2 linked regions of the Coturnix japonica genome follow. The protein of the gene in region 1 binds, or shares a complex with, the protein of each later gene. Links are inferred from orthologs where the notes say so. Each region holds a gene or a part of one and is shown on either strand. Other genes may lie near its edges.

Region 1 (3,560 bases):
CTTTAAGTTTTCAAGGATTCCCTCCCTCCATCCCCAACAATTACTAGAAAAGTCTTTGCTTGGATGTGAATGAAAAGTAAAGGGACTAGTTTCCCCAGAACAAACTAGTAAGGACGTTAGTGGATTGTAAGATCTTAAAAGGGCCTGTCTCTTGTTCTGCATCATAGTAAATTCAACAGTTTAAAATTTGTAAAGTTCTACAGCTGCAGCAGTAGATTTAAGCTGGACATAACTGATCTGTGAGCTGCAATGTGCTGTTAGTTCTTCCCAGAAAAATCAGCCACTGGTGATGTTAGGAAACCTCAGGCTGGAAGGCTGCTAAAACCATGTGGCACAGGCCCAAGGTGGAGGTGGCTGCAGCTACAGGAGATGAGGATGCAGCCTGAGAAAGCAGTCAAGCTGCAGTGACAGCCTACAGTGTGACTGGTGCAAGAAGTATTTGGCCTGTAGGAGTTGCAGAGGAAACCTGTTTTTTTTTTCCTGTTTTTCCTATTCAGGACATTGTCCAGTTTTCTAAGTTGGTCTGATACAACCTGCTGCCTTGAATCAAGATCTTGATATTAAAGATGGCATAACTGGGAGAACCCCATTGACTTAAACCTCAAGCCGACAAACTGTGATGTGACCATCTGGTTAGCATACGTGTATTTCATTGGTGTACAAAGCTCTGGAGTAAGACAGATAGCAGTAATGTTAGGTGTCGGAGGGCCAAGATTTGGAGTCTTAACTCCCTGTAGTGTAAGTGGACTTTGGTAGAGAGAGTGATTTAACATCCCTTGATCCCATAAGGTAAAGGAGAGGTTTTACACAGTTGTATAACATGAGTGCAGTACATAGACAACTTTCTGCTTTCCCTTACTTTCCTTTAAAAATGATCTCTTAGCCTACAAATGAGGGTACAGATCTGAGATGTACTTTAGAAAGGCCTAGTGCAATACTACAGCTTTAAGGCAGATGTTTCCAAATGAGCACTGTGCCATACTGAGGTGAATTGAACCTAACTTTGGTGAATTAAAAGACAGAAACAAACACCAACAATTAGGAATATTGACTCCAACATAAGCTGTATGATGTAAATCCTCTATCTGAATTTATTAGCAGGGTTTAGCAAATGGAGTCTCGGAATAATGAGTAAACAATGCTGCTCTGAATTTAATAAGAAACATCTGTGCAGAACTGCTCAAGGATCTTGCGAAACAATTACATCAGAAACAAAAGGTTGAAATCGTTCTGTTCCGTTTCAGAAACCTTGATACAAGCATTTCCAGGAACACCAAATTGCAGAACCAACTCCTACTGAGAGTGCTTCACTGCTCCCATTTTCTGTCTTGTATGGTTTTTGCATTTTACAAAGGTATTGGTCATGGTGTGCAGATGTCTGTTTGACCAGCTTCCTGTAATATAGGCCTAATTCAAACAGTCTCTGAGCATCTGAGCTATCTTAAGAAAAATAAACCCAATTCTGCTCTTTTCCAGCTGGAAGGATTAACCTATGAGAGGGGAGATTTGAGGGAGGGTGGGGAGAGAAAGAGTAAAAGAGCAAAAAGCAGAGTTTGAGGAAGGGATTTGATTGTGCAGTTCTGTACATGTGTGCACGTGCCATTTACTGAAGTAAATGAAGAGGCTAGTTCTGAAAGGAATGCAGCTAATTGTAATATCTCTTCATTAACTGAAATGTGTTAAACGTTCATGTTCTTTTTTCTTCATCTGCTATGCCCATACAAATAGTTGTCACCATGGTAGATCCCAGCTCTAGATATGGTATAGAATGGGCAATTAGGTTTTTGGAGAGAAAAGCATACTTTTTTTTAATGAATGCTAAAGGACTGTTTATATTCTGCAACAGATTTTCTCTGACAGCTGTTAGCTTGCTTCTAAAGAAATATTATCTTCTATTGGAAAGTGTACAGTCTTGAAAATAAACTTAGTGCTGTTGTTCCAAGCTGGATTATCATCCGTCCAGCAAAAGTTCCAATATTTTCTGTTTTGCTCTCTTTCATAGCTGCCATTATTTGCTGTGTCACAGCAGTAACAGTTATAGTGGTGATGTGTGCTCACTGCTCAGATGTCAGGTAACAGGAATGATGAAACACTGCCTGCTCCCAAAAGTTGACAGCAATTGGTTATGTACGAAGGGCAAAAATGAGCATGGGAAACTGCAGTACTGGAACAAAGCGAGTGGTTAAAAGCTCCTTATTTTCTCTGTCCTTTTCTCTTATGGCATTGATTTATGAAGGCTGCAGCTAGTTATACTCAATTGCCTCTCTGAAGTTTCCCTGCTGTGTGATATAGGGGAGATCAAATTAACACTTGTACAGGAATGAATTGTCTGAAATCTTGTATCCAGTAGATTAATCAAGAATTTCAAGAACACGATTGCATTCCCAGTGTTTACTGGGGATCAAGCTGTCAGGTAATTTCATTATAAATATCATAGTCATGCAATGTGTATTGTAGAAAAAGTAATGGCAGCATGACAACATGATACAAAGAGCTACCAGTTGCTAAAATAAGTAAATTGATATGTGAGGTTAGAAATTTGCCTTAATGGGCTTCATCCCTAACTGCCAGACTTGAGCAGTTGCTGCTCTTGAAGGAGATGTTCTGTAATTTAGGGAGAGATTTCTGTCGTTTACTGCACTCCTTCTCTGAATTTGACCTTCTCCTTATGTTAACATGTAGTTTGTTCCTGGATTGTGAGACTGATCCTTTGTATCTTTGATGTACAAATGGAGCCTGCATTACTTCAGGTGTATTTTCAGTATGTTCTTGTTTTTAGAGAAAGGAATTGGCCTGGGTCATTATCAACTACATACTCTTCTACACCAATGGATTCTGCTTAGTTACAGTGGAGACATTAGACATAAAGACCAATAGATCTGAATCTACCAGAAGGGAAGTGAAAAAAAGTACAAGGAGAATGGATAGATTAATCAAGTAAGGGAACAGTCTAGGAGGAGGAAAAACACTAGAAACAATTTTTTACTTACACTCATGGGGGCAAAAGCCATATTTGCCATCTGCATCAAAGTCTTGGGTTGTGGAACACCAGAGGAATCCATCATTACGTCCTGCATCTGTGCAGCTGTTGTATTCCTTCCCATTGAACCAGAAGGGAAATTTGCAGTATTCACCATCTGCATTTCCATACTTTACTCTAACCACTGCAAAGAGAACAGATGCAATGCTGAAATGAGTCACTGACTGGAGGATATTGGTGTAAATGTAGTGTGGATTTCTACTTTGAAATTCTATATGTTATTGGTCTCTCTATTGGCAAGGTGGTCATAGCTGAAGTAATAACTGGTAATTTTGAAAGAATTACATAGATATTACTCATGGTGAAGTGTTAGAATTGAACAGTCCTTAAAATCAGCCCAGAAAAATAAATGTGTTGTTACTTTGGCAATGCAAACTTATATACATGCTGTTAATATGTTTAGTAATTGAGTTTCTTTGGTAATGTGGTGTAAAATGTTCAGTATATTTTGAAAGTTTCCAGGCAGCATGTTCATGTTGAGCATCAGATTCAGCATACTTCATGCCTCATAAATGACTTT
Region 2 (4,298 bases), on another chromosome or scaffold:
TCCCCATGCTGCAGACAAGAAGCAAAGCAGGAGATGGTCTGCTGCTGCAGCCCCAGCCCAGCCACATCCCTACTAGGGAGCTGAGCAGCATGGGCAGAACAAACCCCAGCAGCCACAGAGGGACACTGCCACCCCTCACACACATAAACCCAGTGAGCCTTCAAGTCCTATAGAAAACTGCTGCCCATCTCTCAGGCCAGAAAGCATGAGCACAGAGGCTGGATCACCAGCCCCAGGTCACCAGCCACGGTGACATGACCCTCAGCCCAAGGCAGAGCCATATTTCACCCTACTGTGGCGCTGCCTGTGAGCACAGCCCTGGGCTCCAGCCCCACTCTGGATCACAGAATGGTGCCTCACCAGTGGCTGCCAGGTGTGAGCAAAAGCAGATGAGCCCTGGGATGGCACAGGCAGATGTGGCTGCATGGAAGGACCCATGTGGCAGCAGCAGCCTGGCCCCAAGGCAGCTAGCAGCAGGAGAGGAGCAGCCCTGGCACAGCAAGCAGCAGCAGCAGCTCCCAGGCCCAAGCTGGCTCCATGCTGGGGAGGAGCTGGCCTTGAGCCTCCTAGCACAGAGGGAAGAAAGGAGCCAAAGGGCAGGGATCAGAGGCAGCAGGACGGGCTCCTGTTGCATGGGAGGCTGTGAGCTCCTGCCAGGATCAAACCCTGCTGCCAGCCAGCACCCAGCACCATCCCCAGCTGGGATCAGAGCGGACAAATCCCATCCACGTCATCTGAGAGGAAGACACAGGCTGGAAGTGGGGGTGATGGCATCGGGGATGGCACAGACGGGACCAGACAGCTTAGGAACTGACACCTGCTGGGCAGCCACAACCAGCCCCCGCTTGGCTCTTCCTGGGACTGCTGAGACAGCCGGGAATGCCGAGACAGCAGTGACTCAGCAGCTGAGTCAAGGGTGAGCCGGCACCCCGGGACGGCAGCGTGAGTCACGAGTGGCCCGGAAGGATGACCCCGACGTGAGCGTGATGGAGGCTCAGCCTCTCTGTCTGCGGGAGATCCGCTGCTCTGGGCTCAGCAGCAGCTCTGGAAATCCAGCTCTCCATTTTGTGTGGGCACCTCCCCGTCCCCAGTACATCCCGCAGTGCTCTGAGCTGCGTGGGGATGGCAGCAATGGGGCACTACGGGATTTACCCTCACGTCACAAGCAGGGTGGAAAGGGTTGGGGGAAGGGGGGAAAGAGGGTCTGCCAGCACATCCTGGATCCAGAGCAGGGGACCAGGCAGGGAGAGGGCTGCATAAGTGCTTGGGAATGTTACCTCTCCAGCTGGGCCTGGGAACGGCCCCGCCAAGGAGGGCGGCAGGAACTGGGGCCGGTCTGTTTGTTTAATATGCTAAAATTTAATAAGGGCATTATTCATCGAAAGAGGAATCCAGATCCCGGCGCTGCCAAGCCCTCCCTTTCAGCAGCATCCAAGCCGAACAAAGTGGGACGGGGGAAAGGAAATGCCTGGAAATAAGGAACAGACGGGAGGTGACCGAGCCCGGCGCTGCTCTGGGCCGGCTGCTGGCTGAGCGCTCCAGGCCGCTGCCCTACGGCAAAGCTCCGCTTTGTGAGCGGAACCGGAGCGCTCCGCTCCCCCGGGGCCGTCAGCTCCCCGCGCTGCCACGTACCGTCCCGCTCCCACCCGACGTGCCGCGGCCGGGCCCATCGCCGTGGGACGCGGGGGAGAAACCGAGCTCCGCTCCCGGCCCTGGGGCACGGCGATGGGCCGGGAGAGGCGGGCACACACCGGGCGGACACACACACACCGGCCAACGACACACCGACACACCCCCGGGCCCCGCACACGTGCAGGTGCTGCGGTGCTCGGCCGGGCCCGGTGCGGCAGCCCCGTCCATCCATCCATCCATCCATCCATCCATCCATCCATCCATCCATCCATCCATCCATCCATCCATCCGTTCTCCCCTCCGACCCGTCGCCCCGCGCCAACTTTCCGCCCGCCGCCCCCACGTCGAAGTTTACGCGGCGCTGCCCCACGTCGGGGGGCTGAGCGCTGCGCGCTGTGCGGGGCCGGGCGGGGCTCCGCGGGGACAAAGCGCTCACCTACGTCTGCGTTGCAGAAGGCCTGCTGCGGGTGGATGGGCGAGCAGCTGCACGCGTCGGTCGGGCGGGCCCTGCCGAGCAGCAGCACCGCCAGCCAGGCCAGCAGGCTGGGCAGCGCGGCTCCGGGCATCGTGCGGCGGCTGCGGCTCAACGACGCGCCCCAAAAAGCCTCATCCACCGCCGGGCCCGGCCGAGCCGCCCACCCCCCCCCGCCCCGATCCGCCGCTGGAAAGTTTGGATCCGCCGCCGCGGCCCCCCGAGCGGCTTCGAGGGCGCTGCTGCAGCCGCCGCTCTCCGCTGCCTTCTATGGAGGTGTTTTCTTCCCCTGGCTGCCGCTAAGCTTCGCTTTTTAATGTGCTCCGGGGATTCGCTGCTCCTCCTCTGCATGGCACGGGGCCAGCCCGGCTCTGCTCCCGCCCCTCGCTGGATACGGCTCCGCGCCGAGCTCAGCCCCCCCGGCCCGGCCCGGCCCCGCCCGCGCATCCCGGCACGGCCGCGGCTCCTCCGCCGTTCATCCCGGGCGGGGCCTCGGAGCGGGACGGAGCGGGGCAGCGCCGGTGACCGGGCGGGATCCTGCTCCGGGCGTTGGGCGGCGATACGGGACCCCGGCCCGGCTCACAGCGCTGGCAGCCGGCCCGATCCGAGCGGAGCGGCAAATTGCAGGGAGGGCCGCATTATGTCTGTGCCCAAGCATTTCCTCTCCTTCCTGCTCCTCCAGCTCATCTCCTCCCGCCGCCCGTACCCACCCCCCCCGCCCACCCCGTCTGGCTTCCCCCGCTCCCCCTCGGCCTCTCGCTGGGCTCTGCATCCCTGCGATGACCCGCTGCCCTCGGGTCTCTGCCTCGTGCCCCCAAAATCTGCCCATCTGCTGCCGGTATCGCTGGACCTGTCGCACAGCTGCAACTCTGCTTTGCCATCATCCCAGCCAGGGCAGCCCCAGCTCTGTCCCTGAGGCTGTGTTGGTGTGGACAGCAGTGCTGTGGTGATGCCAGCCGCTCCTGAGCCACATCTGAGTGTCCGCCCTGCTCACACCTGGTGGAGGTGTCAGAGCTTTCACCCTTTAGGGTGAGAACCAACTGAAACGTGAGCAGTTGAGCCCGGTCCAGGCCCTGCACGAGCCTGCAGGGTGTGGGAGGTGAGCACACAAACACGGCAGGGTGGTGGCATGAAAGATGCCAATGGGCTCTAGGCTGTGGCAGTGGGTATCTGCTCCAAGTGCTCATTGGGGCTGGTTGGGGGGGCACAGGGATGCTGCAACCTGGCCCTGGTTGTGCCATGAAACCCCAGCAGCCCCCCAGGGCTGGGATGGAGAGCACAAGGGCCTGCGATGTGTGGGATGAGGAGGGGATAGGTGCTGTAAAGCCAGTCCCCAGGCTGGGCTGAGCACGGTGCAGGTGAGGGCAGAGCAGCGTAACAGCAGCTGGTGTGGGCAGGGAGCAGCGGCAGCCCAGGGTCTGCAGAACGAGGCCAAGCAGCGGGGTCAGGGCTGTGCTGCAGGGCAGACAAACGTGTGTGCTCAGGGCACAGTGCCCTGCAGTGAGTCACTGTTGTTGGGGCTAAGCAGAAACACATGTCCAGCTGCGTGCGCTCCTTCCGCAGAGCTCCAGAGATGCTGGACACTAAACCAGGGGCAGAGCAGGGGGATGGGAGAGAGCAGCCCCACTGAGCTCACAGCAGGCCCCAGCCCACAGCAAGATCCCCCCAGAGCTGGGCCATTGGGCCCTGAGCACCATCAGTCCTTGACCAGTGCTGGGGCAGGCAGGGGTGGCACAGGGGGGCTGACACCAATAGACCCCTTGGTCCAGCCCCAGCCATCCAGAGCCAGGCTCTGAGCTGCCCCCAGTGCCTGGAGCTCCTAGGTGGCTGCTCAGCCTGGTGCACTGAGGGCACTGCAGTGTGGTTTGCAAGAAGGCTGCACCCAACATCACTGCGGGGAGCAGCCAGGCAGGTTCTGCTGTGTTTGTCTTCTCACGTCCCCTATGACCCTGCTTAGGATGGTGGCTGTGGGGCCTCCACCTGCCCTGGTGAGCCAGGCTGGGAGCATAAAGCACATAGTATCTCCCAAGGGACCCTCCCCATGAGGCCTTCCCCTAAACATGATGACCAAGCAGTCAGTTACCGACACATCTGCTGCACCATTTATGCAAAAGGGGAAGGAAAACCAGCTAACACAGTGAGAAACATCCTGATGAAATCCCCTGCAGCTGTGACGTCTCAGCTCACCCTGCCC

What was found. The genes of interacting proteins can lie anywhere in the genome.
Region 2: the proteins of MMP2 (region 1) and TIMP2 are in contact, whole or in part, in a crystal structure (PDB 1GXD), measured with the Homo sapiens proteins. The link is inferred for Coturnix japonica from reciprocal best matches to the Homo sapiens genes MMP2 and TIMP2. Residues at the interface, in NP_004521.1 of Homo sapiens: Trp574, Lys576, Asn577, Lys579, Tyr581, Phe588, Arg590, Lys595, Asp599, Phe602, Lys604, Ile606, Ala607, Asp608, Ala609, Trp610, Asn611, Ala612, Asp615, Tyr636, Leu638, Leu645, Lys646, Ser647, Val648, Lys649, Phe650, Gly651, Ser652; in NP_003246.1 of Homo sapiens: Ile162, Pro163, Cys164, Tyr165, Ile166, Pro169, Leu173, Met175, Val178, Thr179, Phe191, Arg196, Asp198, Ser200, Cys201, Ala202, Trp203, Tyr204, Arg205, Ala208, Lys211, Gln212, Glu213, Phe214, Leu215, Asp216, Glu218.

The regions. Positions count from the first base shown.
Region 1 is NC_029526.1:2,825,507-2,829,066, forward strand, and holds part of MMP2 (72 kDa type IV collagenase), read right to left. Parts: intron 3,165-3,560; coding exon 2,991-3,164; intron 1-2,990.
Region 2 is NC_029533.1:4,617,372-4,621,669, forward strand, and holds the start of TIMP2 (metalloproteinase inhibitor 2), read right to left. Parts: upstream 2,824-4,298; 5' UTR 2,199-2,823; coding exon 2,069-2,198; intron 1-2,068. UniProt on the Homo sapiens protein: Complexes with metalloproteinases (such as collagenases) and irreversibly inactivates them by binding to their catalytic zinc cofactor. Known to act on MMP-1, MMP-2, MMP-3, MMP-7, MMP-8, MMP-9, MMP-10, MMP-13, MMP-14, MMP-15, MMP-16 and MMP-19.